Linked DNA regions of Daphnia pulex. The protein of the gene in region 2 interacts with the protein of the main gene of each other region in a pairwise test. Links are inferred from orthologs where the notes say so. Each region holds a gene or a part of one and is shown on either strand. Other genes may lie near its edges. The genes, in order: protein tumorous imaginal discs, mitochondrial-like; huntingtin-like; intraflagellar transport protein 20 homolog; nucleoporin p58/p45-like; 33 kDa inner dynein arm light chain, axonemal-like; dnaJ-like protein 60; palmitoyltransferase ZDHHC17-like.

Region 1 (4,630 bases), on a different chromosome or scaffold from region 2:
TAACGGGTTGCAATCAATATTTGTAGTTATTGAATCGATAACAAAAAAAGCAGTGTTTAAACTCGCTAAAAATAAAAAAAGCAATTTAAAACAAAAAAATTTAAAACAAAAAAATAAAAATAAATATAGCTACTGGACCACCTTTCTTAAAATGCTACATTTGAAAATTATTTTGATGTATTACTTTTATTAGCTCTTCAAGCTAAAACCGAATATAATTCCAATTTAGTTTAGATTTCATTTTTATACGGTACGATGTATTATCTCAGATGTCGTGTCATGACGGTCTAAATTTTTCTATTACCACGACATCTTTCGCAGCGATAAACAAGGTTTAGTCCATTGTCACGACAATCTATTGGTCCTTTTGTCGTGAAAACAATTAGTTTAGATCTATTACCAAACCAATTTCGTGTCAGTTAGAGCTCCCACCCCAATCAATCGGTCTTAATAACCACAATTTGAGTAAAATTATTTTAACAAATTTCGCAATCGAATTACAGCTAAGTAAAGTCCATTCCTTGAGTTCTTGCTTTGATGAAGGAATCCAATTATTTGAATTATAATACAAGCGTCATTTGAAATTTGCTGGAAATTGAAGCATTCGGAGTTGAAAAAAAACAAAAGTCAATGATCAAGGAAAATGAAAAATAATTTTTATCACCAAATGAATTGAGTGAAGATGTGGTAACTCGACATGGTTTATTTTATACAAATGCGTTAACAACTGACTACATTTATTTACCTTCCTTAAAATAAAGGAAACTGGCGAGAGAAATTGTTGGATATTAAACTTATAATTTCTGTCGTTGGGCTTTATCCTCCTTTGTCTCTTTTAAATTGGAATCGTCATCTTGAGAAGAGTTAGTCGAACCTTTTTTGCTAGAGCCATCACTCGCCTTTTTCGCACCTTTGAAATAAAAAAATTCAAAATTACAATTACAATAAAAATAATCAATAAATTCTAACGCGCATCCGTAACGAAGCATAAATCAAAGCTAGCTAGACTTAAAGTCAGAGATCAATAACTGGTAGTTAAGATGCAGCTTGAGAGGAAACACCCAGGGTTTGTCATGTCAATACATTTTACTATTACTTACGTACTCTATGGTAGTAGTCGCGACTTTTCCTATCTTTATCCAAAAATGGCCTTTTTAAGGCGGCCAAAAAGACCATCTTCTTTTCCCTGGGTGTCCTCCTTGCTAGCTGATTGGGATTCCGAGCCAGCCATCGGCGCTTCTTTGATCCCATCCATTCGTTTACCTAACAATAACGCACACTATACGAAAAACTAATACTTCGACCCTAGTGCAATATGTAGAAAATGCTATTCCCATTTAATAGTCCTTATTTATCTTGTCTCGTATACAGTAATCTTAAAATTATGTATTAATTGTGTTTATTTACCATCTTTGGTGTAGGTGATTCCGTTTACAGTTCCTGGGGTATCTTCTTCAAGTTCAGCGTAAGCCAAAATCAGTTTTTTTTGCTTTTCATTAAGCCGGACCGGGATTTTGATTTTTATATGAATGTAGTGGTCACCAAATCCGTAACCATTAACTTTACGTAATCCTTTTCCATTCATACGAATACGTGTATGTGACTGCGTTCCTTTAGGGATATCAACTGTTAGCTCTTCATATATTCCTTGAACGCGGATGGCTCCTCCTAGGACGGCTTGCGAGAATGTAATAGCAGCGTCAGTGTGTATGTCGGCACCATCGCGACGAAAATAATCGGATTTTTCTACCCGAAAAGTGATAAAAACTTCTTTTTGGCCCACTTGCATTCTTACTGTTTGACCATCCTCAACACCTGGATAATATGCGATACATCAGCTTAATTTTCTTCGGTGAAATGTTTTAAGTAAAAAAAAGATTCCAAATTTTACCTGCCGGAACGGGGACAGTTACTTTTTTTCGCTGAACTGTTGAACCTTTTCCTTCACATTCCAAACAAGGATTTGCTATGTGCATTCTTGAACCCATGCATCTTCTGCAAGTCGATCTCATGATGAACGGACCAGTGCTAATTGTTTCCATCCCTGTTCCATTGCAAAATGGACATTTTACTGCTTTTGTTCCAGGTTCACTTCTTGAACCACGGCATTTTGGACATGTATCAACCACATTCAAGTTTATATCTTTGTTGATTCCTTTGGCAGCTTGAGCGAATGTCAAATTCATGGTCATCTGTAAGTTAAGAACAACAAGTTATATTTACTTCTTGAAAATAGCTATCAGAAAATACTATCAGAAAAGTAATATTTTACCTCTTGAGCAGCACCAAACCCAAACCTTGATTCAGCAAATTCTTCACCAAAATTTCCTCCTTGAAAGCCAGCTTGTCCGAAAATCTTTCGGAACAGTTCTTCAGGATCAACACTAGACTGAAAATTCCAATTTTGATGTCTTGAAAAGTCCTGTGAAGCACCTGGTCCAGCCTGTCCACCTCCCATTTGCTCTGAAGTAGCTCCCCATGTATCAAATTGTTTTCTCTTCCCATCATCGCTCAAAACCTATGATGTAACTCTTCAATTTAAGATCAAAGTAAACAATAATTTAAAATATATACCTCATAGGCTTCAGAAACTTCTTGAAATTTTTTTATAGTTTCTGGATCATTTTTATTGGTATCAGGATGAAACTTTTTAGCTAGTTGGTAATATGCTTTCTTAACATCTTTTAAAGAAGCATTTCGAGGAACACCTAGAACATCGTAATAATCCCTTTTTTTTGCGAACGTGATGTTTGATGTATGGAAATTTCTTCTGCTTGCTAAGTAAAGAAATTTGAAAATTTAGTATGATTAACATTTAAAGATTCATAATTTTATGCTAGTGTAGAAAGTTACTTGGAATTTCAGATTGAAGTGCAGCATGACTCGTTATGGGCAATAAAAACCTCTGTTTTATAATTAATCCAAACAAACTTCGGGAAGTGCAGGCCATTTTCTGTAACCGGGGCCACATGGGGACGTACAAGGTACAAATCGTTGGTTTCGACTCGACTGTTTAAGTGAGGCAGTGATCCCTAGATGTCATCACTTGATTTCGTTTTAAAAATACTTAAGCCATGCCCGGGCCAATCATCATTCATCCATGGCGTCACGATCGCCACAATATTAGCTAAAAATTCAAAAAAAAAAACAAAAAAAAAAAAAGGGAAGTCTGCTAACGTGAAGAACCCTTGAAATATCTTTTTGTTACAAATTTACAATAACGAAATCATCTACGCAGCGATATTGGAAGGTTTTCTTTTGATCCTAGATATCAGTTTAAAGTTATGAATATAAAAGAATTCGAGAAGGTGCAGGTGCATACAAGATTTTAATATATATTAAATTTTATTTCCCCCATTACAAAGTGAATACGAAATGAACTCTCGGTATTACGGAACGCCAAATTGAAAAAGAAAAATGTACCGCTCGTCGCACCGCCAGTGTGGCTGTGTGGCGAATAGCAGAAAATTCTGTTCCATCCGGAATGTCTTCCGCCTTAGGAATTGATCGTACAGAAGCTGATCATATTTCTTTTCGATGATCGAGTCAACCTTTTTGAAAATAGATGTATAAAGAAAGAAATGGTGTCTCCGGATAATCGTAATCCATCTTGATTAACGACGCTGATAAGCTTTTGGTCCTGAAACTTAACAAAACAAAAAAAAACAGGAAAAAGTGTACGAGAAACCAAAACACTGAACCTAGTGCAAACAATATCTAGACTGACAGCAATAGCAAAATTCGCAAAAATAAAATAAAAATTAATCTACAAACATTGACAACGAGCTCCTGAACAATGTAAGGTTTAAAAAAACCTCACTTCTTCCAAGTCACCTTCCTGGCTTTACCCGACCAACCTGAAAATGACGGAATTAACGAACAAACTACCCTTTATTATATTCAACGTTCAGAAATTCGTAGGATTTAGGGTAAAGGCGGACGAATCAATTCACAAGGTTCTAGAAAGAAATACGGTGTTGACAAAAAATAGTGATGCTGGAAGCATTAGTCATCTCTGGAGAGAATTACAATTAGGCAGTTCGCCAAAGACTGTTGAAGCGAGTATGGATGGTATAGAATTATTGTTCGAGAAAACGATGACTTACTTTACTTTATTATTACTTCTTATCTCAACAGTCAATAAATGATGGCATCTACGGATTTTCCTCCTTACACCAACTTGCTTTAAAATAACATTACTGTATCATATATCCAGCAGCATAAAGACGATGTATCCTGGCTTTGAATTGTTAGATGTGTACTTATCATAATAAATAATATAATTTATTGACACCATGTACCAAAAAGACAACCGAAAAAAATAACAGCACCTATACTATTGTTAGACTTGAATAGTTTCGCACAATTTTCGCCGTCTTTGATATTCAAAGTCGCTACCTGAAAGGAAAAAAAAATTGTATATATATATTTATAATTTATATATATTATCTTCATCAAAGTATTATAAATTAAATATATTTTATTACTTGGCGAATCAAATGAGCACTGGATGCTAATACAGCCACATAAAACGGCCATGACTGTTCTGCGGAAATTCCGGCAACGGTAAATCCAGTTACCGTCATTAAACTAAATCCCGTGAGCCATTTAGAAGTGGCTTCGCCGAATC
Region 2 (4,016 bases):
ATTTTCAAAGGTAGCGCTTGGAACTGCTGTGATCTCGGAATACCATCTAAAAAAGAAAATTGAAGATGTCATAAAACGTAGGATAGTAGGTGGGCGAGTGCCAAGAACCTTTGATTAGCTGACTGAAGAACGATTTTTTGTACATTTTCCAAACAACGAAGCTTAGATTCAGAAGAAGTGAAATTTGCGTTTAGAACAAGTTTGCACATTCTTCTGTGCACAATGCCACTGGAAATTGTCTGAAAACTGGAAATGATATGTAAAAGAATCGCTTCCGAATTCGCAACAAGCTCGACATTCTCTATTATATTCAAAAGAGCCATGGCCGAGGATATCTGCTAATTTGTGAGAAAAACAAAATTTATAAATAGTCACTTAATCCGCTGATCAGTATGATATTTTACCAATAAATCTTGGCCTTTCGCCAGCACACACTTCACAAGTGGTTGAACGTATTTCTCATCATTATGAATAAGGCTTCCAAAAAACTTCTTCACAGGTGTTTCATTGAAGTGATTTAAGATTTGGTCTGCATACAAGCTAACGAACTTCAAGATTTTTTTTTCTTCTTTAGGCTAAAAGTAGATAATAGTCATCTGAGTCGGAAGATAATTTACAATTTAAGAAAGTTTTTCGAGCGTACCACCACACCGGAGAGCAATAGAAAAAGTCCTTCTTGCGCAATACTTCCGTTAAGTCCACCAAAAGAAGCAATATTTTCGGATTGGATGTGATAATTTTCCGACAATAACAAAGCGCAAATCCGCACAAAAACTATCGGATTATTGGGAATCAATTCCCTTGCTACTTGAAATAGAGGAGACTTACACTCGTCACGCGCCAATTCTGCAAGAATGGCGGTCTGCAGCACTGGGAAATCATCTATTAAACAAAATATTAGCTTTTTAAAAATTTTGAAACAGTAGATAACATGATTTACTAACTTGAGTTTAATAAGCGACGACACAAGGCAATCAAGTCCAGTACTAAATGGACGGAAAATGAGAAACCATCAATTCTCCACGATATGGAGGTAGAGCCACAATTATCAACAACCACTTTACTTTTCCAATGACTTAGAGCTAACTTAATAGTGTCAACCAGCAAACTGAGAGAGGAAAAAAAAAATTTAATATGAATTCGTTTGAAGTTGATAACTTTGTTGGATTACCATGACAAGATGTGTTCAGGCGGTGAATTCTCAGTAGGCGTTACATTTAACGGGTCACTTCTCTGATTGACCAAATAACTTAGGTTAAATTCATTTAAACAGTCCAACAAGAAAGCTTCATCAAAAACAGCAATCAAGGTTTTGAAAACCGTTAAACGGCAGGCCAATACACGATGGTAGTTCTGCAATAAAAAAATTAAAATGAGAAGAAAACAAAACCATTTTACTCATAATGTGCAACAGGTGTATCTTAGCGTATGCTACCATAGCTGCTGAAGTATTGAAATCCTCCGATTGCTTAGGGGTAAATGTCTGCAAAAGCCCTAGTAGAGACTCATGCACAACAGGTGGATCCATATGAGAAATCAGCTTTTGAAGCATTTGGAGGGCTTCGTCTGAATCCAAAAATAGCGAATGCCTATTGAGTTGCGGGATGAGTGCATCACAAATTTGCTTCGAGAGGGATTTCCATTTGTTCGCATTTTCAAACTGCACTTGAAGTAATACAGCAGTTATCAAAGGGTAAACCTGCAAATATGATTACAATTATGAAATTTTTTTTATAGGTAAACTTACTGATTTGCACAAAGACTAGTAAATTAAGAAAAAAAAAAGAATTAACTTGCAGTAACTACATACCTTGTGATACTGAATTAACCGAATGAGTAAATTTATAAGGACTTCTTTCTGAGTTTCAAGTTCCTTAAAGTTATCACTCATTCTTTCTCTTGAAAGAAACAAATCTTCGACCATTGGTTGCAATGTGGGAAGCACTAGAAATTTAAAAATTAAAGTTATGCGTACAGCAAAATCAGTAAAACACGCAAAGGGATTACCGTGCAGTTCAGCATCCTTTCCAGTAGCCATTAATCCACCAGCAAGCTGCATAATGCGTGGGACAGAAATAATAGTTTTTGAATGGAAGCGATCATACGATAATAGTGACAAAAATCGAAACATGGAGGGCAACAGAGTTTCGACTTGCCTGATAAAAGATTAAAATGAAAATGGTCAAATCAATACCAATAAAAAAAAGATCAACTAGCACTTACGGTATGAAACCTTCTTCTAGAAACTCAAACTGTTGGATGACAAAATTGAGAAAAACCTGGTCGGCATCGAGAAGGCAGTAGTTGACGCAAAGATGGATCAATTCGCAAAGAAGATCCAAAACTTGCTTTTGAACTAGTGGACAGCTTGTGACGGTGTACAACTTTGATGAAAAACTTATGTTATTAGTAGAAATACGGACACACGCGAATGGCTAAAACTCACCTTCAAGGCCTTGATGACCATCGGCTCAAATAAGCGAATATAAGAAGTCAAGGCAGTTTTATCAGGGCCAATTTTGTTTATAGAAGTTCGAAATTTGGTTATCAGATTTGGCCTTTCATTGTTTCGGCTAAAAAATGAATTTAAATAGAAAACGAGAAGAAATAAAATGTTTTAACAAAACTTACTTGAAATTCATTTGACGTCCAGCACTGTTATACAATAATTCATCTAATCCACAACTCGAGTAAATGCTCTCGTCACATTTCACTGTTGGTTGCAAACTTGAAGAAATTGCGCTTCTTTTAAATCGGGCTGCTTCGTCAAACCAGACAGCTGCTAAATTGGCTCCAAAAAGCGCTTTAAGTAACTGAAGATTGATTCACAAAAGAATTTTGAAATCAATATTCTATTAGGGTTATTTTTTAACAAAGAAAAAAATACAACCTGTTGAACGTTGCGCAAACAGTAGACTGGTTCAGCTGTAATAATGATGCGTAAATAATTGAGAATCTCCTCGCTGTGTTTTCCAATATCTTGGAAAATGGAAACTTCAATTAGAGCGGCTAGCAATTCCAAAGTAGATTGGATAAAATTCGACAAGCGTTCCGAGGTAATCGTATCAAAATTCAGCTATAGTTGTGAAAATAAATATTTACTATACAAAAAAAAAATGTACAGCCCCAATAATACATACTTTGCAAGTGGCGTGCGTACTCTTCAGTAAATCGTAAAGTTTCACGTAGAGAGGTTGAGCAGCAAAAAACCCGACATTACTTGGATTAAGCAAATGTGGTTTGTTCTTACGGCCGGACTCATCTGACTTATCTTCTTTATCTGAGATTAAACTTTCAGTGCTTCGAAGTTTGCGACGTATTGGACTTAACGCGGACGGGTTTGGAAGCGTCACCAATGGTACTTTAATTGAAACCAGTAATGGATTGACATCATCAAGAACACAGCAGAATGCATTTAATATACGGGTAGCATGACCCAATAGGCAAGACGCCGTAGCAGACGAAGGGCCCTTTAGAAAACGCCAATCTTTAAAATCTTTCTCTAATTGGGGTTCGTTTAAACCTGCTTTCACACATCCTATTCCAAGAAATATTGAATGTAGAAGAAATTAATGAGAAAGAAATTAAATGAGAAAAAAACCTGCAAAGAGCTGAGTGGCAAGTGTGATTAGGGTCTGGTGTGTTACTAGATCCAACATCAACGTAGAGTTTGTCAGGAGTGCCATGCATACTTTCAAGAGACTGCAATTTCCTTTTGAGCTACAGCCGTAAACTTCCAAGTACGTAGCGGGAGGATAAGAACAGCTCAAGGTAGACAAACTTTGCAGGCAGCCCATCTGAAATCGAACAACAACAATTTTATTTTCAAATTTTGTGCATTATTAGTAAATAATTGTAATACCTTGACAAACTTTGAATTGGAAGAAACAAGTAGTTGAAATATCTCATCGACAAAATAAGCTAAGTTGACAGAGACGTTCTGGTTCAATGAAACATCCCAATAGGCTTCTGCCAATCCATTGATAGATAGGGGGACACCAGCAAAAGTCTTTACA
Region 3 (3,037 bases), on a different chromosome or scaffold from region 2:
GTTGTTTACGTGCAAGATTTTCTTAACGACCTTAGACTCTATTAATAAATAGACATGAAAACCTGCATGCATTCGATTGAAATTTCGTTTAAATAATAAGTTTTTTATTTGATTTCTTAATACCTAGGCTTGTTTGTAGTTTGTACACAGGTAAAATTGAATAACGTCAAAATAGATTTTAAAATAATAGTTTGTAGGCGCCACCGCTAGAAGGCATATGTTGTCAATGACTCAATGTAAACAAAGGGTTACGAATACTAGTCATCAAATTACGTTGTAGATTTAAATTGTATTTGATAAAATTGAAATAATTTGCGAAATGGGGGGCTACGTTTCGAAAGCAGTGCATGAAAACATGAAGAGTAATCAAGAGTTCATGATAGAAATAAATCGTATAACAGTAAGTTGTCTTTTTTCGTAAAAGTCCAAAATACAAACTTAGAAAGTATAAATTTAATAAAATCTAAATTCTGTTCCCAAGATTGAGAGGCAGATCCAATTGCAGAATCAGATGAGAGAAAGAATGTAAGTCTTGGTAGAATGTGTATTCTTAGTGGTTCTATTTATTTTGTTTAAGGTCTGGTTGATGGCTTTTGTTTAGGGTGGCGTTGCAGATAGCTCGGACCAGGGAATTACTGAATTGGTTTGGGGCATTTTACACTGTAGCTGCTGCAGGCATGCTGACAGGTTTTCATCACTCTCGTAAACCTGGTGTGCTTGTGCCACTACTACCCTTAACTTTTATCCTTGGCTATCAAATTGATATGGCTTATGGAAACAAGCTTATGAGAATTAAACGTAAGTAAAACCTTATTATTGGCACTATTTGAAAGTTCTAAAACAAGTTATTTATTTTCAGATGAAGCAGAAAACATTGTTAAGTTTGAGAGTGAACTACTAGATTTGCCCATGCACTTACCAACCTTGTCAACCATAGACATGGCAAGACAAGTGCAGCATGATAAACTTATAATGCATTCAGCTGAACCCCCTTTGTATTATTAAGCCTTGAATTCTGAGAAAGTAGTTCATTTTTAACTTTTTATAGAGCATCCCTTGTTCTTGTACTAATTTGGTTAAACTACTTCAGTTTATTTGTCTATTCTTTAAAGCTATTACAAACATGTATTCATTATTTCTTTCTTTTGAAATACTGGAATTGGAAACTTTTTATCAGAAAAATCTGCATTTCTTTTCAAATAATAGTCATTTTAGCATTCAATCTATTAGAAAAAATACCCCCTTTGAATTCCATTTTCAGTCGTCATAGCAACTAAAAGTAAACAAACAAGTCATTTTCTCGAGAAGACCAGCACAGTCAATCATGGATGTGAATAATGTGTTCATGGCGGAGGACGAACTGGTTGAACAAGGATTATTCATCGATGACATCCACAGACTTCGTATCCTTGATCCTTCCTTGGCCGATCAGACAAAAATTCTCAAGACCGAATGCGATCAATTCCTCCAGAGTAAGTGCAGTCAATCCATTTCTACAGAAGAATTGATAACATTTTTTCCATTTCTTTTAAATAGTTTAATCATTAATTCATATGTTTTTGTTTAAGCAACGAACAATTTCGATAAGACGGTCGACACATTTAAAAAGGAGGCCAGCAGAACAGCAGCGGCTGTTGAAATAGAGAAAAAACGGGCTATCGGTTACCGGCTGTTACTGGATTCATTGCGTAAGAAAAAGGAACAAGATCAGCGTCAAATGATGGTATGTGAGCAGTCTGTCTGTATTTTGAAAATATTCTTATCTCTAAAGACTAAGTATTTAATAATAGGCAGAAGTTGATCGTAAACGCTTAAAACTGGAGCAACTTCGCGTCGAGATTGAGATGCTTCAAAAAGCGGATCATTTCCATCAAGAAATTCTCGATCAGTTTCAAATGCTTCATTAATGTGCATATCGGCTATATTTCTTATTTTAATTTATACATTATTTTCTGATTGATGGTGCCTTCAGGCTAAAGAATTTTGTGCATCTACTTTGTCCCAAAACTGTAACATAAATTGCTGGGTCAAGCAACTTTTTTAGAATTACTTCACAAAAGCACAAAACCACTCCACCCCTGTCATCCCCATAAGCCAGAACGCTTTATTCTGTTTCTTTATGATTGAACTTACTCGAGGGCCAGAGAAATCGTCCTTTTATTTGAAATACACACTTTATTTGCAACATCAAGGGACCTTTTCCAACGTTTATTTCCCAGTCTTTCCTTCCACTATCAGCTTTCTTGTTTGTCTTTCAAATACCAGAGAGTTTAAATCGAGATAAGCGATAAAATAGAGCGGGGCAGCGGGAACACGCAATAATAACCGCTTTCAGTTCTTTATGAAGTTGCCGAACCCTATTGGTGACGTTTAACATTTGACGTTGGACATTTTCGTCTGCTACACGTAATATAAGAAGGGTCGCTGTCGTTCCAAGCGTTCTAAGAGAGATTTCGGTGATATCTACCATCTTTTCTGGATTGTTCCAGGCGTTAACTCGTTTGGCAAAGCAGATCGTTTGTAAAATGCGGTTCTCTTTTGTTGTTGTGTGCTTGACAATAAGTCTTGTAACAGCTATTCCAAAACCAAACAAGACTTCAAGAGTTAAAGATGAGGTATTTAAAAATAGTAATTTTGTTGTTAACTTTTCTAAGTGTGTTCCTTAACGCCGATACTTTCTTTAATGACAGCCGCTGAGTAGTCACAAACATTATGAAAATGAAGAGCATAATGCTGACTATGACCATGAAGCTTTTCTAGGAGATGAGGCTAAAACCTTTGATCAACTGTCTCCTGAAGAAAGCAAGGAGCGTTTAGGGTAAGTGCAGTGTGAAATCTCAAACATGTTCTTACTCCATGAAACATTTTGCTATTGTGCAGGAAAATTGTGGACAAAATAGACCGTGACATGGATGGCAAGATCACCAAAGAGGAGCTGAAATCATGGATTCAGTACACTCAAAGACGTTACATATTGGAGGATGTTGACCGTCAGTGGAAAGCACACAATCCTAATAACAAGGACTCTATCACATGG
Region 4 (4,660 bases), on a different chromosome or scaffold from region 2:
TTAAGTGATTTGGAAACTGCAACGACAAACTTGGCCTCAGCAACGAGAACGCAATTGAACAGTACAAAGTCTGCTATTGCGGATTTGACAAGAAAATCAAATGGTAATTAATTTTAAAATTCGGTCAAATAAATTTCTAAAATTATAAAGAATGCTACGAATTTGTTATTTTATGAAACAAAAACCGTGTTTTTTATCTCAATTTATTTTAACTGCGAGAGCAGAAGAAACCTTGTGGTGCCATTTTGTATGTGAAAACTAATTTTACAATTTTACAATGTATTGAATTGGTTTAGTGGCACAAAGGAATTAAGTTTAAAGCCACCGTTCAAGTTGAGAATAAAATAATTTGAATTTTCTTTCAACAGCCCAACCAAGTGAAATAGTTGACATTGGCCAAATGCCTACCTCCTGTGCGGATCTGCTGAGAACGGGACATAAACTGAGCGGATTCTTTTTGGTGAAAGGATTGAAAAAGATGGAAATGGTTTACTGTAAATTTTATCCTAATGGAAATGGTACTACGACGTGTTCATATTTCCGAGTTATTGTTATTTGCCCATTAATTATTTTATTTGCCCAGATTTTCAAAAATGGATCGGATATGCCGACGTCAAATCAGCGACTGTTCATTTCTACGCCCAGAGAATCAAGTCATATTCCACAGAATCAACTCCGATTCGTTCGATTTCGCTCGGACGAACGAGGGAAATGCCATGGATTTGACATCGGGAATATTCACTGCTCCGCGACCCGGAATTTATTTCTTTTCATTCACGGGACTGGCGAATTTTCCATACTCATCATCTGTTGTCTATTTCGGAGTTGGTCTTTATTTGAACGGGGTTCGAATCGGGTTAGGTTACGTTGAAGAGGCAAACACCGCCGCTGGTCAATCAAGTCCATTAACCCTCCAGTCGACGCAGAACTTGAAAAAAGGCGATCGGGTCTGGGTGCAGATTTATTTCTTGTCAGTGGGCGTGAAATTGCTTGACAGCAGTAACCACTACACCCATTTTACTGGTTTCATGTTGGAGGAGGAAATTGTCGCGTCCTTATGAGTGCCGATCATTCGAAATGCGCAAAATGCAATAACGTGACAACAAAATACATGATTAGCTGCTGATGATTGACAGAGTTTTTGTAAAGTTATTATTGGATTATATTAAGGGGAAATGGGGAATGTAAAGAGATTTATTCAATTCTATTTTGTTCAGGAGTGGGACTTCATCAAGCAAGCCTACAAATTTTTAACTGTGTATGCAAACAGATTTAATGAATAAATTCAAACTAATTTTCAAGTTTGAGGTAAGTTTGAAAAAATTTGAAAAATGTAGGCGTGGCAAGTAAAAATCCGATTTCGATTGCCAGATTTGATGTGAAACGAATTTGTAAATCCGGCACTGCCGCATGAGGGAAAAAAACAGATGACAATCGGTAAACTTAGCAACGGGACGAGAAACGGACGAGTTTGTTCGGGTGCCGGTTTATTCACAATTTAAATGTTGTATAAAATTTCGAAAGAATAGAATATCACAATGTCTTTTAATTTAACTTCCAATCAGCCCTCTCAACCGTCAGCCTTTGGAACGCCGTCGTTCGGAAAGTAAATATTCAATTATTTAGACTGCACTTATACTCTTGTCTGTGAGTAACATGCTTTTTGGTGTTTTAGTCCAGCACCTACAAATTCTTCATTCTCCTTTGGTTCTGGCCCTGCAACTTTAACAAGTAGTGCTGCTCCTTTTTCATTTGGAACCACTACAGCTCCACAGCAAACTGGAGGTTTTCAAATGGGTACTAGTAATGCATCTTCAACAGGCGGTTTTGGCTTTGGATCCACATCACAGGCACCGGCTTTCAGCTTCTCCAGTGCTCCCCTGAATACAGGAACTGCCACAAAGTCAATGACTGGAGCTCCTTTTGGATTCGGTGCACCAAGCTCAACTGGTAACTTACAAGGAACTAGAATATTTAGTTTTTAAAAAGCAGCATTATTCCCCATAATAACAGGAAAACAAAGATTTACATTCTAGAGTTTTAAAAAATATTGATGGCTTAATTTTCATGTTTTTTTGGAAAATGACCACCTTAAAAACCAAACAATTATTTTGATGAATGAAAGACTGTGAAAACCTAAAATTAATGGAAAGCAGCTGATTGGTTGAATTTTGCAAGATTTTGATCAATTAGTTTTTGTTTGGTGTTGCCATAGAACAGTGGGGTCGCTGCAATAGTTTAAAATTTGTTTCCATTTGAAGTAACTTTCAACTGATTGCTTTTATAGGATTTGGATTGGGTGCAGCTTCAAGTGCTCCTTTTACTGGGCTCACAACTAATGTGATATCTACCACAACAACAGCCCCCTCTCTTGGTCTTGGGGGTATCAATTCAACTACATTTGGAGGTGATCTTTCTGGTAGGCTTATATATTTCAAATATTCATCTGTACAAAACTGATTTTCATCCTTTGAAATCTAGCATCCAACTCACAAGGAAAATCTGATTCAAAAGCTTTTAATGAAATGCCTGTACCTGCCGAAATCTCTCAATCTGTTGAAGAATTCAAGTAAGTAAAGACGGCCAGGGTATTTATATAGTTCTCACAATCACTGACAGTGTATTCAATCTGTAGAAAACATGTGAAGGAACAGAAAGCCAAAAAGGACGAAGTTAGTCGAGGCAGTAACAAGGCCCCAGAAAAAGTGGGCGAGGAGGTTGAAACTTTGAAGAATATCCTCTCCAACCTGGCCAATAACATCCAGCAGCATTCCGCATTGGTCCACAAATTGAAGCATGATGTAGCACTTGTAAGACGCATCACGTCTCATTTGAAAGCAAAGCAAGATTTTAATTTCTTTCAACTTGTTTCAGGAAATTAAAAATGCTGAAATCGCCCAGCGTACAAAAGAAACAGCACCCAGTATGCAGCTCGACAATACGGCGCCTCTTGAATACTTTATGCGTTTAGTGACTGATTTCGAGCAGCGAATGCAGTTTTACAAGTACTTTCGTATTCTCATTTGTGCCTAAGCATTCACTAAAATTATTCTCCGTCTAGGCAACAAATCGAAGACACGGAGAGGAATCTGCTGGCCATGACCAAACAGCATGCATTGACTCCTCAAGGTAATTTTCCATCCCAATGTCTTCAGACTGATGAAATTTAAATTATTCATATCTTAGAACTGATGGGGACTATGAAAAAGTTGCACGAGGCATTTGTTTTGTTGGCTGGACGTGTCCACATGATTCACACTTCGCTTCAAAACTACAAAGACGATTATTTGACGTACCGACGACGGGTTCTGAACGACCCCACTGATATTTTCGCCTCAAAGAGCCACGCCCCTTCGAAATCGGTGCTGGTGAGCCAATTGAACAAGATCGGCAGTGGGCCGTCCCCATTTGGAGGTAAAGAGTCCGAACAAAAACAAACTTTGAGCTTTCAGATTAGTAGTTCACGCACTGTAAATTCTTGTTGGTGATGCGTCATCATATCATAGGTACCTCGGATCCGCTTTCTCGGACATTAAGCCACCTTACCAACGCTGTTCAAGGTTCTGGTGCAGGTTTAAGTGGTGGCACTAGTGGTGGTCTCAGCTTTGGCTCCTCATTAGCTAGTAGTAGTAATCCAGGTAGTCTATCGTTCGGGACACCAAGCCGCCCGGCAGGTACTACAACATCTTTGACCAAAGAGTGGACCATTTTTCAATAAACCACCTTACTTTTGATGGTTTCACATACTGTATAATATTTCCCCCTTAGCAAAATGTTTGGAATGTTTTTTTTCTTTTCCTCTTTGATTTCGTTATTTTTGATTTTGTTTTTCCTTATTTTTGTTTTCTTTTCGTTTGTGTTGTCGGTTTCTTTTAGGTTTTTTCGGTAGCTCTGCGCAGTCGCTGCAGTCAGCCAACTCGAGTTTCCAGCTGCAAAGCCCTCCTCCCGGCAATAAAAGGAACAAGCGCTAAATTTACTCTTAAAAACTCTGTTCTCTCTCTCTCCTCAAGATTCTTACTGTAAACATCCGTTTTTGAATAAACGATAATTCCCATCTTTCCCTTACTTCTTTTACTTTCTCGAGTGTTTTATTTTTTGTTTCCCCCCTCTCAAAGTTGCCCGATAAAATAATTCCGGGAATAAGAAAAGAAGGCCGGTTTGTGTTTTCACTACAAGATTATCCAAAAAGTTTTGGGTTGCCGAGCGGAGCAAGTGCCAGGTTCCGCATATAAGAAAGTTTTGTTTTTCTTATATTTCCCGGGCAAAAAAACCAAAAGTTTTTTTGTTGTAGACGATATATATATCGTTGAAAACGTAGTTGTAGAAAAATGAATCAATAAAGCAGTGCGTACGTACATTCCTCTCGTATAAAAGAAAATAAAAAGAACCTTTTACGTAAAATGCGTCGTAGGGTAGTGATTTGCTTTGTACTCCGTCAACTGTTGCCCAGAAGGTATGTCCTTTATATGACAGTGGAGAGAGATATACCTGGGGAAAAAGGAACTAGTGGTGCATGACGTCGATAGTCCCAACACGACGACTATGTAGCGCGCCCAGCAGCAGTTGCGGCAGAGAGATATTGATTTCCGTTCCAGGGGCCAGAGTTTCGATCGCTGAAAATTGGTCTTTCACGGGAAACCAGTTGGTCGGTTGCAGCAGC
Region 5 (3,912 bases), on a different chromosome or scaffold from region 2:
TGTTAGACATCACATAATATGGTGTTATATGTTATACGAGCATAATCATCATCCCTGGTTTCTAAGAGATGACGTCATTGGCGAAGTGTTGCTGCCAGTTAACGAAGCTCTGGAGGAAATGACAGATTCAGTCGATTCCAACAATACTGCAGACAACGGAAACCACTCTAGCGCTCTACTATTCCGAGATATTGCGCCACGCAGTCATAAGGTGAGCCCCATCGTGTTGGAAACGGGAGAGAAAAATGAAAAACCCACGACATGCCCAAGTCGCAGAGGGGCGTGTGGTTGTTAGGGAGACACGCAAATGATCCAGCTGCTTTCGTTAAAGTTATAGACCTTTTCCTTTTTTTTTTGAAAACCATCAAAATAGATGAGGACTCACGGAAGAGGCGAGCTTCTGGTGTCGCTTTGTTATCAACCGCAAGCTTCTCGACTAACAGCCGTCGTCCTGAAAGCTCGTAACATTCCCCGCATGGACATGACCGGCCTTGCTGGTACGTTGCCCTCCCTCATTTTTTCCGTTACCTAATCTTCTTGTCATCAGAGTCTTATGATTATTATTATTTGTATTTACTCAAGATCCTTACGTCAAGATTTATCTTGTGCACAATGGACAACGAGTGGCCAAGAAGAAGACGCACGTCAAGAAGCGCACGCTGAATCCCGTTTTTAACGAGTCGTTTGTTTTCGACTTGCCGGCCAGCGCCACTTCACTGGACAATATCAGTCTCGAATTTCTCGTCCTCGACTGGGACCGCGTCACCAAAAATGAGGTAATTTTTGACGAGTGCCTTATTAGAGTGGAGTCGGAATAATATTTCGAACGTAATCTTGAGCCTTTGGATTTAAAACAGGTGATTGGACGTTTGGAATTGGGCGGAGCCAAGACGATCGGAACGGCCTTGCATCACTGGAACGAGGTCTTGAATTCTCCACGTCGTCAAATCGCCGAATGGCACAAACTGAAGGATTGAATCCGGCCGCATTGATCACCCATCAAAAGGTGAAACCATCGCGTCAACTCCAACCTTTTTCCCTCCCATTGGAACATATTATTTCCTCCCCTCGAACGTTATTATCTATTTAAATATATACATATTTACTTCTAACACGATTCGATCTATGTTTGCTATTGTGTCACGGATTCTATTGCTGCTCGCTGTAGACTGGAAAGCTTTTTATACGTGAACAATCCACCCCGAAATGTTATTTCCTCCTTGCTGTCCACACGCCTCTTTATCACAATTCAATTCGCTACAAAAAGCTATACACACTTTTCCATCCACTAAACTATATCAATCGGAAGAACCGGCGGCCACATTATTTATTTTCGTTGCCTGGACGAAATGACGAGGAATTATTTCTATAAATACAAGGATAACGGCATCTTTCCTGCTGTGCTGCTACGAAGAAGAAAACGTTTTCATCGGCTCCTTTGTTTCCCCCTTTTTTGGTCTGGTTCCGAAAACAGAAATTGTTGACAAAAATTTTCATGTGATGACGAAATGATGTAAAACGCGACAATGAAGAAATCAATACACATCAGTTTATTGGGCAATGCAGCTGCTTGCTTTCTACTTCTATAAAAGAAGTAACCCAACCAAATATTTCATCCACTTTACACAAGTAAATAAGAAATGGGAGCTGCGATTGCGCAGTCGTCGGCTTGGATGTTTGATCCATATCGAATTCTTTTATAAACACCTCATAAAACTTGCATCAAAGCGCCGTGAAGTAGAAGCTGTCACGTTTCACAGTCGCTGCTTTAATCTGAAACGACGTCCAAAGGGAAACTGCCAAGTGAAGCGAAAATGTCAGAACGTTTGGCGGGCACTTCGTTTTCGCTGTTGAAATATGACAATCCCGTTCTGGTGCGTGAGCCGAGTGACGGCAACAAGAGAAGAGTAAGGAACTTTGTACTGTGTCATATAAGGAATCCTTTGTTTCGTTGGCCATTGTTTTAATTCGGTTGAGTAACTTTCGTTTACAGGTAGACGAGTTGCCGCAATTGCAACCAGCCTCCACTGGGCTAACCGGCGGGAATACAAGTCGATCCATCATAGCAACCACTCCCGGTCCTGTCCCAGATCCACCCTCTCCTCCTGGGGGAAACAAAAGTCGTGACGCAATTCGACGTGAAGCCCAAGATGCAATCAACGCAATTCTGCCTCCCAAGGAATGGACCGAAGACGACCAGATATGGCGGCAGTTGGTACACATACGAATATGAAAAATCAAATTCAATATAGTCTTCATTCCGGGAAAGAGTCAAAGCGCATTTTAGTTATGTTTGTATTCTTGCATCGTCGGTCTTTCTGTTTGTGATAAGGTCTCGTCTACGCCGGCGACGAGATTGGACGTCCTCGCTTTGCAGGAGCAGTTGGATTCCAGACTCAAGCAGAGACAAGCTCGAGAAATTGGAATCTGTCCAATCAGGAGGGAGCTCTACTCGCAGTGCTTTGGTACTCGCATGGCAACTTATTTTTCTACGATCGATAAAATAAATAATAAAATAAATAGACGATGTTGGTATTAAAGAGACGAAATTACTGGGTTTCAGATGAACTGATCCGACAAGTGACCGTCAGCTGTTCCGAGAGAGGCTTCCTCTTAGCTCGAGTCCGCGACGAACTCAATTTGACGCTGCTTTCATATCAGACTCTGTACGAGAGCAGCTTGGCGTTCGGCGTACGGAAAGCCCTGCAGGCCGAGATAGGACGGGGAGAAATGGAGGACCAGATTGAGCAGTTAAAGCACGTTGAGCAGAATCTCGAATGTCAAAAGACGGAGCTGAAGGTCGAGCTGGAACGGAATGCAAAAAGAGCTCAAGAGGACATGGAGTCTCTGAAAGAGCAGCACGCACAAGAGGTGGAATCCTTACAGCAATCCAACAAACAGCTCAAGGTAAATCTTAATGAAGACCTATTGTTGGAAGAAATAAGATGAAATAATTAGGTTAACTCGTTATTTCTTTAAAATCTAACCAGGAACTTTTGGAGGGAGTATTGACTGGCAATAAATAAAACGGGACCATCTTTGTAATATTAAAACATTTGAGTTTTTCTTTGTTAAATACACTTTTGAGCATCACAGAATTTCGATAGAAATATGAAGACGAATACTGACAGAGTTGTTCAATTCAAGACAAACAGGAATCCAAATGTGTGTTGATCTGACTGAGGTCGATAAGCGACTGGCAAATTGGACAGGGCACTTTTTTCTCATCTTTGGGGCCGTCATCCGCGTCCAAAGAAACTATTTCAACGACCTTTGGAGTTTCCTTTTTGATGGATGATGTTGAAGGATTGGCCCAAGGAGTGTTGACTTTTGGTGGGCCACCACCCAAGAGTCGGCCTTGTCCAGTAAAAGGGATAAATAACGTCATAGATGGAGGCTTGGACACAATGCCTCCTTGAGTCGGTCTTGCATCATTTGGTTCACTTGTTTCTGTTGATCCAGAAGATGGTGATGTAACCGTTATTGTCGAACTCCCTTTGTTCTTCACCGATCCTGCAAAGCCGGTGACAGTTTTTCCTTTGCCCGAAGTGGTGGAAGTAGTAAAATATCCGGATATAGCTTTCCCTTTGGGAGGACTAACGTTCTTGCCCGAAAATCCTGTCCAAGCTTTCCCTTTCACGGGATTATTGGTTGGCAGTTTAGGTTGAGAAGTAGATAGATTCCCAGTAGCAGTTACTGCTTTCTTAGATGGTCCAGCAGTGGGAGAGTTGAGAAACCCCCGAATATCGCGTGCACCTGATGGAATTTCAATCTTTTGCTTCTTGGGGTCTGAAAAATAGACACATACACAGTAAATAATGAATAGAAAACAGGAAATCTTCATTACTAAACAAATACCTGGCCCTCCCTTATTCTCATTACCTTCTTTTTTCTTTTTAACACCATATCCTT
Region 6 (3,782 bases), about 2.2 Mb from region 2:
TTAGCGACCGGAGGTCGTTACGATGCTTTGGTCAGATCTTTTCAGAATGCACTTGTCAATCGGAAAAAATTAGATGGTGAGCCAATGAGTCAACCCACAGTAGTTGGTGGCTTGATCCATTTAGACAGAGTTGCAGCCATCCTGAAAGAAACTGAGGTTGTTGAAGAACGAGTACTCGTCTACGTTGCTATCTGTACCGTAGGATATCGTCCTCAGACCAAGGAACAAGCCTCATTAGTTAAGGATTTGTGGAACAATGGGGTTCGCGCCACAGTGTTAGATCATTGTCAGGTACTTATTATATTTTTCTTCCCAACTGTGTGTTTTCTTGTGCTAATTTTCTATAATTGCTTTACAGAGTCTTGATGAAGCTCAAATTTGGTGCAGAGAAAAAAATGTGCCGCACATAGTAATTCTAAAGGATTCCGAGGTTGGTTCTGCGAGGTTAAAAACATGGGAAAAAGATCGGTTAGTACTCATTGTGAATAGTTGGTAAGATGGGCCAGAATTAAAATTTTTTTCAACAGATATACTGAAAGGAAAATGATGCTGGGTGAACTGATTGACGTTTTAAAGTGTAGTGCCGAATCTGCAAACGACACGACTGAATCTTTGGTTTCACACACTCGCCAAGATTCTATGAACAGAAGTAATAGTTTAAGTGAAACTTGCGGCAATCAAACGGCCACTAGTTTACAAGGTATCGCGGGTAATCCAATTGTGAACTTTCACATCGTAATCGAAGAAAAACTTCCTGTTCATGCCAGAAAGCGTTATGAAAAACAGGTAATTTTGTTTCCTTTGTTCAAATTCCATTTAAATCTTATAACAAAGTATCTTATTCTTATTACAGATTCTAAAGCATATTCAAACAACGCTGCAAAATTTTCATTCGCGAGTTCAAGTCGATATCGTTGCAATAGAAGCTACCGCGGTTGTCGTTCAATCGTTATTGATTGCCCTTTATGTTGATCCTAGCGACGCAAAGGCAGTAGAGCAAGCGATTGGAGTTGTCGTTGATAAGTAATCCAAAACATATTCATCATATATATTTATCCAAACTAATTTTTTTAATTTTTTTAGACACCGGAGACAACGCAAATACTTGCAGAGAATATACGAGCAACTTCTTCAACTCAAATTTGAAAAACATGTTACTGTTCTGATGATCTATGGACTACACGATAATTCCAGTAGAATTTGTATGTAATGGCTAGATTGCTAATGTAAAATTGGGGTGAATGTGTTATTTTATATTTTCTTATTTTAAGAGTGAAATCAAATCAAAGTGTTGTAATTTGCTGCTAGGCTGGGGTCAACAACCCTGACGTTTCTGAAACTGTTTACAAAATGGAAAATAAAATCCGTTTATGAGGTGTTTTTCTGTTTGTTGTTTATATTATTTGTGCATTTCTAAGAAACATGTAATTTAAAAAACTACCAATTGAACTTCAAAAATGCTAATTTCTTATAACTTACTGAAACACCACTAGATTGCAGTGCGCAAGTATTATGTAACTTAGTAATAGCAGAAGTGATTTTTAAAAACAAGTGAAGTTGTAATTCTGATGAGGTGGTTTATCCACTTCTCGTTCACGGTTGTTTAGCTTTTAATTTTAAGCTAGTTTTTTTTATTGTTTGTAGACTGAAGAATTTCAGGGAAGGGATTAAAGGGTTTGACAACAATCCAAAATTGTCGAGCCTAAAATTAGCTAGTCTTTTAATTAGGCGGCAAGCTACTTCGTCGTGTGCCCATGTCAGATTTATCGACAATTTTTTAGGTCGACGAACTTGAGGTTATTATTGTCATTAGGCGAAAATAATGGCAGGTACAAAGAAATCATTGGAGTAAGTCCCTGTACAGTTACTCCATTTAGTTTTAAAGTTATAGATATTTAATGACTCAATATGTCTTTATAGCCCACTGTTACAAACCCATTACGAAATTTTGGGACTTAAACAAAACTGCTCTTCTAAACAAATCAGAGATGCATTTGTTTCAATTTCAAAAAAAGTAAATGCATTTTTATTTATTTAAAAAGAATTTGATGATGTTTTACAACACATAAATAGGTGCACCCAGATGTTAACAAAAGTGACCCAGATTGCCACAAGTCTTTTCTTAAGCTAAATGAAGCTTATTCTGTCTTGTCAAAGCCATACAAAAGGCAATTGTATGATGCTAGTCTGATGAGTAGAAAATATGCAGCTGTGGATAATTATTCCAGTTGGGTAGAAACTAATGCACCATTTGGAAAAGTCAAGTATGTTTTGTGAGCCATTTTTTAATAAATTATTACTATTTTGTTATCCAACTAATTTTCCAGTATTTCTATTATGTTTTAGTGAATGGAGAGATGAAACTCTTTGGTCAGCAAGAGACAAAACCAAGGACAAATATTATAAAGACAAACCTTATTATGGGATTAAAGGAATGCAGAGAATATCTAACAAATACATTGCTGCTGGCTGTGTTGTGTTTATGTTAGTTGGAGCGGCCTTCCATTTTGTAATTGTTAAGTGAGTGTCTCTATTTTTTAAGACATGTACTTTTACTTGAATCTGTATTTATTATATAACAGGAAATCATCTGCCAGAGCCTTGGAGGTTCTTAACCAAGTCGATAAAGAAAGCACCAACTGGTATCTGGAAACTAGAAGGAAGGCTTTGGCAAGTTCTACCAGTGAGCAAATAGAACGCTTAAGTAAGGAATGGGAAACGAATGATAAATCAAATAAGTAGCTGCGTATCTTTTGTATGTACATACAGAATTTTAGTGTTAAAAAGATTGCACATGGACGAAAGAGTCTTCTTTCCAAAAAAATTTACGCCCAATTCAGATGCCTTCATTTGAATAGGTGCTATTCGCGCTTATTGTATATTAACTCGTGGTTACTACTTTGTAAGCTGTGCTTGTTTGAGGACAGCAAAACTTTTCTTTGCGACATTAAATCAGGAGTTCCGGCGTGCGCGTGCCTTACTAAGTATGGTCAGAGTTAATAAATCGTTACTTCCGCAAGCGATACTGAGATTGTTGAATTACATAGCATTGTTACCACATATTGTTTTAGAGTTTTGAAGGTGACGGTTCCAACTCCCTGATAGCTCTGATTACAACCTCAAGGAGTCCACAGTCCACACTCTCATTCGGTCGTGTGCAATAATGGTTGGCAAATTTGGGATTCCTCGAGACCATTTCCGTGTTGCATTTTATCAAGTAAGTGAAATTTTCTCATGTTAATTTTGACGTTTCTTTACGTAAAAGAATAGGTATGTTTTTCTAAGAAAAAAAGGCTAATTTCAATTTAAAAACTAGTTTTAAACTGGTCTTCAATATCTTGAATTGAAGTTGAAAAATTGCCAAGCCTCTTGAATTTGCTAAAAGGAGAATATTTGCTTCAGGTGTTAAGTTGATGTAATGCATTTTCAGGGTTGATAACTAGTTATTAAGTTTTTTTTATCAAACATTTAGTTGCGTCTTGCAAAAAAACAAAATTTCATTAAAATGGTTTCTATTTTTGTCAACCCTCTCCATTGTGGACTAACTTCCGTGATAGAGAATTTCTATTGAAAAATTGCAAGGTCTTTTGATTAGCGTGTGCTTTCCATAAAGAGTAAAGAGAAAATGGTGTGTATAGCCGAAAAGGAACAATCGTTTCTGGAAACAAAACGGACCGCGCGATACTTGATATAGTCATCGGTGTGCATTAGAATAAGTGCGATCCCTTAAGGCTTTCATCGTTTTTATAGCGAAATCCTTTATAAACAAAACCTGAGCTAAA
Region 7 (4,448 bases), on a different chromosome or scaffold from region 2:
GATGAATGACGGACGACAACTGGAGTAGACGTAGAACCGGTATACACGAGTACAGTATCATCTCTAGTAGCAACTGCGAGCTTGTTACAATGGGGATGCCAGGCAAGAAATCTTACAGGGCTAGTAGACCAGTCTTTGGTATGTGAAAATGTAGCTATAGTATTAACACTAGACAACACCTGAAAGATAAACCAGTTATAAGGTTTCAGTGTAAGTGGTTAGCTTAAAGAATTGTTATTCCAATGTATACATACACTGGAATTGGGCACTATAACACTCTGAATTGCTTTTAAAGTTTTCCAAAGACTTAATACTCCACATGTCATTTTGTTTGCTGAACACTTATTCAAATCCATTTGTGACAATAACTCAAATGCTTGGTAAATACCCTGTGTTCTCCTGTAAGCAAACATATATCATGTATATTCATGAATTTATTTTTTATTTGAAAAAGATAAAAAAAAGGCTGTTTACCGTATAAACAGAAATTGTTTCCAAACAGAGATTTTTTCATTATCCTTTATTGGGATAAATGCAAGAGCAGCTTCATTTCTGGGAAATTTCGTGGGAGGCAAAACTGGGACATTTATATTAACTTTTGGTAGTTGACTTTCCTATTTAAATATTACAACAGTTAACCTTGACCAATACTAAGTAATGCAAACATTCCATGTTTAAAATTACCTCGTGCGTTTTAGATATATCCGTATGAACAAAATCTTCAGTGGCAAATGATTTGAACTCCCGAAAAGATTCCATTCCAATTAACTGAGAAGACATCATTGATAGGGAGAAGAATTTTCGAAACACGTTTTCTGAACTGCAGTTACCGGCAATCCAACAAATTCAAACGTGAGAGCCACCGTTCACGACTTCACGTCTCACGTCTGTCAGATAAGAATTCCAATACAGTATTCTACAGCAGCGCCGCGTATGCCTAAATTGCGGGGAGTGGTATGCGGTATACAACCCGCGACCCATGCGCGCATGCGGCGCAACCGCGCAATCTTTATTGTTGGATTCAAAATACTTTTTATTTTATTAAATGTTTATCTAATATTTATCAGAAACTTTTTAAATTATTTTGGAGGCACATTAAAAAATTTATTTGACACCTAATGTCCAGTTTCACACAAGATTCGCTAAAAACTAAAATCTGAAATATGCGAAACACGACGTGACGACTGACGAGACAGTTAAGGGACGGAAACAAAAAATTGGCGAGTATGACAAAACTAATTTTAAAGTAAAGGAAAGCAATGCAAATGAGGGAGTAGACAACTAGACATAAGTAAAGATGACTTAAATGAGATTCTGCGAGATGTTGTTTTCCGCATTCCACCGAAAGGCTATCCCGCATCCCGCTCTGCGCACTTTAAGCATATCGAGCAGCGCAAGCGACGTAACCATAGGCAACCAGAGTACAATCGATATTTGTCTTGCTTTTTGGTGCTGCGGTTGTGGCTGGGTTGTGGTGAAAAAAAAAATGCTTTTTTAAAGAATAGACTTAATATTAAGAAAGTTTAATTAAAAGTATCGGGAAATACCCTTACTGTCCCGAAAATGTCACTCCAGTCTCCCAGTGAAGATCGTTCCAATGACATGCAGAGCAATATAAACACCGGTACTGACCAGCAATATAAAACATGGGACATAGTCAAAGCGACTCAAGTTAGTATCTTATCTCTTTTTTTTTGTTTGTTTTGTAAAGAATAACATTTTATATTGTCTCAGTATGGAATATTTGACCGATGTAAAGAACTCATAGATCAAGGATATGATGTGAACCAAAGAGATGATGAAAATGTAAGAAACCATACAATATTTTTAGTAAGTCACATTTTCAACTGAATGCACAATTTACATGTAAAGGTTACTCTACTCCACTGGGCCTCCATCAATAATAGAAAGGAACTTGTTAACTTGTATATAAATCATGGGGCTCAAGTTGACGCAGTTGGTGGTAAATTACTTGCCACTCCTCTACATTGGGCTGTCAGGTACCTTGTGTTATTTATTGATCAGAATGAATAATACTGTTTGACATTCATTCTACAGACAGGGCCACCTGGCTACAGTAATTTTATTAATAAAACATGGTGCTGATCCAATGGTTTATGATGGAGAAGGATTCCAGTCACTTCATTTGGCAGCTCAGTTTGGACACACTGCTGTGTGTGCTTACTTACTGGCTCATGGAGTTCCTGTCAATAGTGCAGATATGCAAGGAATGACACCCCTAATGTGGGCTGCCTTCAGGACTACAACGTATTCAATTAATGATGTGGCTCCTAGTTAAAATCCAAGTCTGACATGATTCTGTCTGCAGTGTGGATCCTACTCGTTTACTCGCCTCCCTAGGTGCAAGCGTGATTTCTCAGGATAATCATGGCAACACAGCTCTCCACTGGGCAATAGAGTCTCGAAACGTCTCGGCTATATCGCTTTTATTGGAAAGAAATGCTTCTCTGGATGTTCAAAATGAAAAAGTAAATAACAATCTCTATAAACTTGCAAAATTGTATTCCGGCACGATTGATTATTGACGATTTTTTCCAGGGTACAAGTTGCTTCAAATTGCTAGTCCAAGACAAACCTCCTTGGTTGGGACCTCGTCTGTTACACAGGATACTGGATCGCGTGGCTCAGTCCGATAAAGAGGCGCGTGTTGACCAACTGTCATGCATGGCACGGATAAAAAATGCGCGAAATTACAAGGTATTACATCACGATTCCTAATAGTCTTCCCTATTTTATTCCGATTTATTCTTTACAGAAATTACAGCATTGGTTTCTTGTTGCGAGTCCGTTTGTTCTATTTTTCATATTGGGTACTCTTTTTCAAAGCTCTCTGAATTATTATCTAAAAGCAGCGATGTTACTTCTGACCATTGTATGTATAAACCTGTTTGGTCGACTATGTTCCTTTACGTCTGATACAACGATGGAATCTTTACCAGTATCGATTTACTTAGCGACAAAGGTATTTAGTAGATCATAGAAATATTCTGTCCAAAAATATTAATTTTTATTTTCTTCTCTGCTGCAGTGGTGGGTGCTAGTCACTTGGTTTGTATGGCTGGCTTCCAGCGTAAATTGGGTGACGAATGTGGCTTTCACTTTATCCGCGACTGGATTGTGCTATGCCTTTTACAAGACGTGGAACAATGACCCTGGCACAATTTCTCTTTCATTAGACGAGAAGTACCAAGTGAGTTTCATTAGGTCTCATCGCAATCAAAGAAATTAATTTGATCTCAATCCCCCTCACAATAGACCATAAAGCAGTTGGCAGAGTTCGGTCCTGGTTTTGAACCGCAACATTTTTGTAGCTGCTGTTTGTTGAGGCGACCTATCCGTTCCAAGCATTGCTCCAACTGCAATAGATGCGTAGCGCGCTTTGATCATCACTGCCCTTGGGTTGGCAACTGTATAGGCAAGTAGATCAGCCCCAAAAAATTTACAACCATACGAGTGTATATAACTTTTATTTCTTTTAGGTCTCAACAACCATCGCTACTTTATTTACTATCTCTTTCTACTTTCCGTGTCATGCGTGATATTCATTTTTGGTGTCGTTAATTTTTGGAATAAAGAATGCAACGCGCATGCAGGTTTGTATTTGAGTAGCCTGATTATAAAATGAGATTTTTAAAAGACTTTTCCTCTATAGGACTAGGGGTCTTGTATTGTGATGGCTGGGTGACTTTTATAGCCGCTAACGCGGGTTTGCATGCAATATGGGTTACAGCTCTATTGAGTTGCCAGTTATATCAGGTATGTGTTTCGTAAATTCCTACGAATTTGATTTACCAATTCGAATTTGTTTTTATCTTTATTTACAGGTGGTAATCCTAGGTATGACAACAAACGAAAGACTTAATGCTTCCAGATACAAACACTTCCATCGCACTCCTAAAAAGTCTTCTTGGCTCAAAAAAACAAAATATGCAAGTCCATTCGACCGAGGAATTTTACACAATGCTGCAGAGTTTTTCCACATACGAATCGGAGGAGGAAGTAGCAGCAGCGGATCACCTTACCTGCGTCCGCGAGACGTGGATTGGAAAACAGAATTTAATATGGACAGATGGTTGAATGACGACGAAGAAGAACTTATCCCCAAAAATAATGTGAATAATGTTTGAACAATTAGTTTTACGTGCGTGTCGGTTTACATTATACCATTGTGTGTGTTTTTTTTGTACATTATACAATAATAAAGTCACGTCCAAAAGTAATGTCTTGGAGGGGTTATTTGATATTCAGTTACCACCGCTAGATGGCCACATCGATTGTTTTTCCTTGTGTCAACCTCCAGGGTCCATCCAGCATTCACCTCACAGACGAGGGTTGAGTATTAATGGAGCTCGCTTTCCTTTCGTTGTGTCATTTTCATTCGCTACCTTGTTGACGAAAGCAGTGTTATCCGCACTGAACAGACTATC

The links.
Region 1: the proteins of huntingtin-like (region 2) and protein tumorous imaginal discs, mitochondrial-like interact in binary tests that used the Homo sapiens proteins (3 or more experiments, as listed by UniProt). The link is inferred for Daphnia pulex from reciprocal best matches to the Homo sapiens genes HTT and DNAJA3.
Region 3: the proteins of huntingtin-like (region 2) and intraflagellar transport protein 20 homolog interact in binary tests that used the Homo sapiens proteins (3 or more experiments, as listed by UniProt). The link is inferred for Daphnia pulex from reciprocal best matches to the Homo sapiens genes HTT and IFT20.
Region 4: the proteins of huntingtin-like (region 2) and nucleoporin p58/p45-like interact in binary tests that used the Homo sapiens proteins (3 or more experiments, as listed by UniProt). The link is inferred for Daphnia pulex from reciprocal best matches to the Homo sapiens genes HTT and NUP58.
Region 5: the proteins of huntingtin-like (region 2) and 33 kDa inner dynein arm light chain, axonemal-like interact in binary tests that used the Homo sapiens proteins (3 or more experiments, as listed by UniProt). The link is inferred for Daphnia pulex from reciprocal best matches to the Homo sapiens genes HTT and DNALI1.
Region 6: the proteins of huntingtin-like (region 2) and dnaJ-like protein 60 interact in binary tests that used the Homo sapiens proteins (3 or more experiments, as listed by UniProt). The link is inferred for Daphnia pulex from reciprocal best matches to the Homo sapiens genes HTT and DNAJC4.
Region 7: the proteins of huntingtin-like (region 2) and palmitoyltransferase ZDHHC17-like interact in binary tests that used the Homo sapiens proteins (3 or more experiments, as listed by UniProt). The link is inferred for Daphnia pulex from reciprocal best matches to the Homo sapiens genes HTT and ZDHHC17.

What each region holds. Positions count from the first base shown.
Region 1 is NC_060024.1:9,132,711-9,137,340, reverse strand, and holds protein tumorous imaginal discs, mitochondrial-like, read right to left. Parts: upstream 3,020-4,630; 5' UTR 2,972-3,019; coding exon 2,854-2,971; intron 2,778-2,853; coding exon 2,575-2,777; intron 2,519-2,574; coding exon 2,273-2,518; intron 2,193-2,272; coding exon 1,892-2,192; intron 1,816-1,891; coding exon 1,408-1,815; intron 1,264-1,407; coding exon 1,136-1,263; 3' UTR 1,101-1,135; intron 911-1,100; coding exon of another isoform or gene 795-910; 3' UTR 684-794; downstream 1-683. UniProt on the Homo sapiens protein: Modulates apoptotic signal transduction or effector structures within the mitochondrial matrix. Affect cytochrome C release from the mitochondria and caspase 3 activation, but not caspase 8 activation.
Region 2 is NC_060020.1:1,043,456-1,047,471, reverse strand, and holds part of huntingtin-like, read right to left. Parts: coding exon 3,863-4,016; intron 3,798-3,862; coding exon 3,602-3,797; intron 3,539-3,601; coding exon 3,141-3,538; intron 3,077-3,140; coding exon 2,891-3,076; intron 2,814-2,890; coding exon 2,632-2,813; intron 2,574-2,631; coding exon 2,447-2,573; intron 2,385-2,446; coding exon 2,224-2,384; intron 2,157-2,223; coding exon 2,008-2,156; intron 1,945-2,007; coding exon 1,811-1,944; intron 1,700-1,810; coding exon 1,436-1,699; intron 1,354-1,435; coding exon 1,172-1,353; intron 1,109-1,171; coding exon 945-1,108; intron 883-944; coding exon 644-882; intron 576-643; coding exon 405-575; intron 339-404; coding exon 109-338; intron 47-108; coding exon 1-46.
Region 3 is NC_060023.1:11,437,580-11,440,616, forward strand, and holds intraflagellar transport protein 20 homolog, read left to right. Parts: upstream 1-1,324; coding exon 1,325-1,472; exon of another isoform or gene 1,473-1,493; intron 1,494-1,568; coding exon 1,569-1,723; intron 1,724-1,790; coding exon 1,791-1,907; 3' UTR 1,908-2,191; downstream 2,192-3,037. Other genes in the region: uncharacterized protein LOC124198431, read left to right, coding at 1-45; plasminogen receptor (KT)-like, read left to right, coding at 320-400, 482-525, 602-798, 860-1,005; calumenin-B-like, read left to right, coding at 2,526-2,615, 2,691-2,818, 2,881-3,037. UniProt on the Homo sapiens protein: Part of intraflagellar transport (IFT) particles involved in ciliary process assembly. May play a role in the trafficking of ciliary membrane proteins from the Golgi complex to the cilium.
Region 4 is NC_060024.1:3,688,290-3,692,949, reverse strand, and holds nucleoporin p58/p45-like, read left to right. Parts: upstream 1-1,423; 5' UTR 1,424-1,538; coding exon 1,539-1,606; intron 1,607-1,675; coding exon 1,676-1,950; intron 1,951-2,287; coding exon 2,288-2,419; intron 2,420-2,481; coding exon 2,482-2,569; intron 2,570-2,635; coding exon 2,636-2,810; intron 2,811-2,874; coding exon 2,875-3,005; intron 3,006-3,061; coding exon 3,062-3,129; intron 3,130-3,186; coding exon 3,187-3,414; intron 3,415-3,506; coding exon 3,507-3,674; intron 3,675-3,862; coding exon of another isoform or gene 3,863-3,876; coding exon 3,877-3,971; 3' UTR 3,972-4,065; downstream 4,066-4,660. UniProt on the Homo sapiens protein: Component of the nuclear pore complex, a complex required for the trafficking across the nuclear membrane.
Region 5 is NC_060021.1:10,925,560-10,929,471, forward strand, and holds 33 kDa inner dynein arm light chain, axonemal-like, read left to right. Parts: upstream 1-1,623; 5' UTR 1,624-1,814; coding exon 1,815-1,907; intron 1,908-1,993; coding exon 1,994-2,215; intron 2,216-2,332; coding exon 2,333-2,465; intron 2,466-2,563; coding exon 2,564-2,907; intron 2,908-2,990; coding exon 2,991-3,026; 3' UTR 3,027-3,095; downstream 3,096-3,912. Other genes in the region: synaptotagmin-4-like, read left to right, coding at 67-211, 374-497, 583-776, 840-977; DNA-dependent metalloprotease dvc-1-like, read right to left, coding at 3,143-3,789, 3,859-3,912. UniProt on the Homo sapiens protein: Involved in sperm flagellum assembly.
Region 6 is NC_060020.1:3,246,697-3,250,478, reverse strand, and holds dnaJ-like protein 60, read left to right. Parts: upstream 1-1,542; 5' UTR 1,543-1,822; coding exon 1,823-1,848; intron 1,849-1,920; coding exon 1,921-2,014; intron 2,015-2,073; coding exon 2,074-2,264; intron 2,265-2,346; coding exon 2,347-2,520; intron 2,521-2,582; coding exon 2,583-2,704; intron 2,705-2,858; coding exon 2,859-3,079; downstream 3,080-3,782. Other genes in the region: eIF-2-alpha kinase GCN2-like, read left to right, coding at 1-291, 359-468, 528-786, 854-1,023, 1,084-1,210.
Region 7 is NC_060024.1:10,255,485-10,259,932, reverse strand, and holds palmitoyltransferase ZDHHC17-like, read left to right. Parts: upstream 1-1,391; 5' UTR 1,392-1,563; coding exon 1,564-1,671; intron 1,672-1,734; coding exon 1,735-1,806; intron 1,807-1,872; coding exon 1,873-2,000; intron 2,001-2,058; coding exon 2,059-2,268; intron 2,269-2,329; coding exon 2,330-2,489; intron 2,490-2,559; coding exon 2,560-2,718; intron 2,719-2,776; coding exon 2,777-2,983; intron 2,984-3,049; coding exon 3,050-3,211; intron 3,212-3,276; coding exon 3,277-3,436; intron 3,437-3,500; coding exon 3,501-3,614; intron 3,615-3,673; coding exon 3,674-3,777; intron 3,778-3,845; coding exon 3,846-4,148; 3' UTR 4,149-4,241; downstream 4,242-4,448. Other genes in the region: aladin-like, read right to left, coding at 1-179, 255-399, 475-614, 685-783. UniProt on the Homo sapiens protein: Palmitoyltransferase that catalyzes the addition of palmitate onto various protein substrates and is involved in a variety of cellular processes.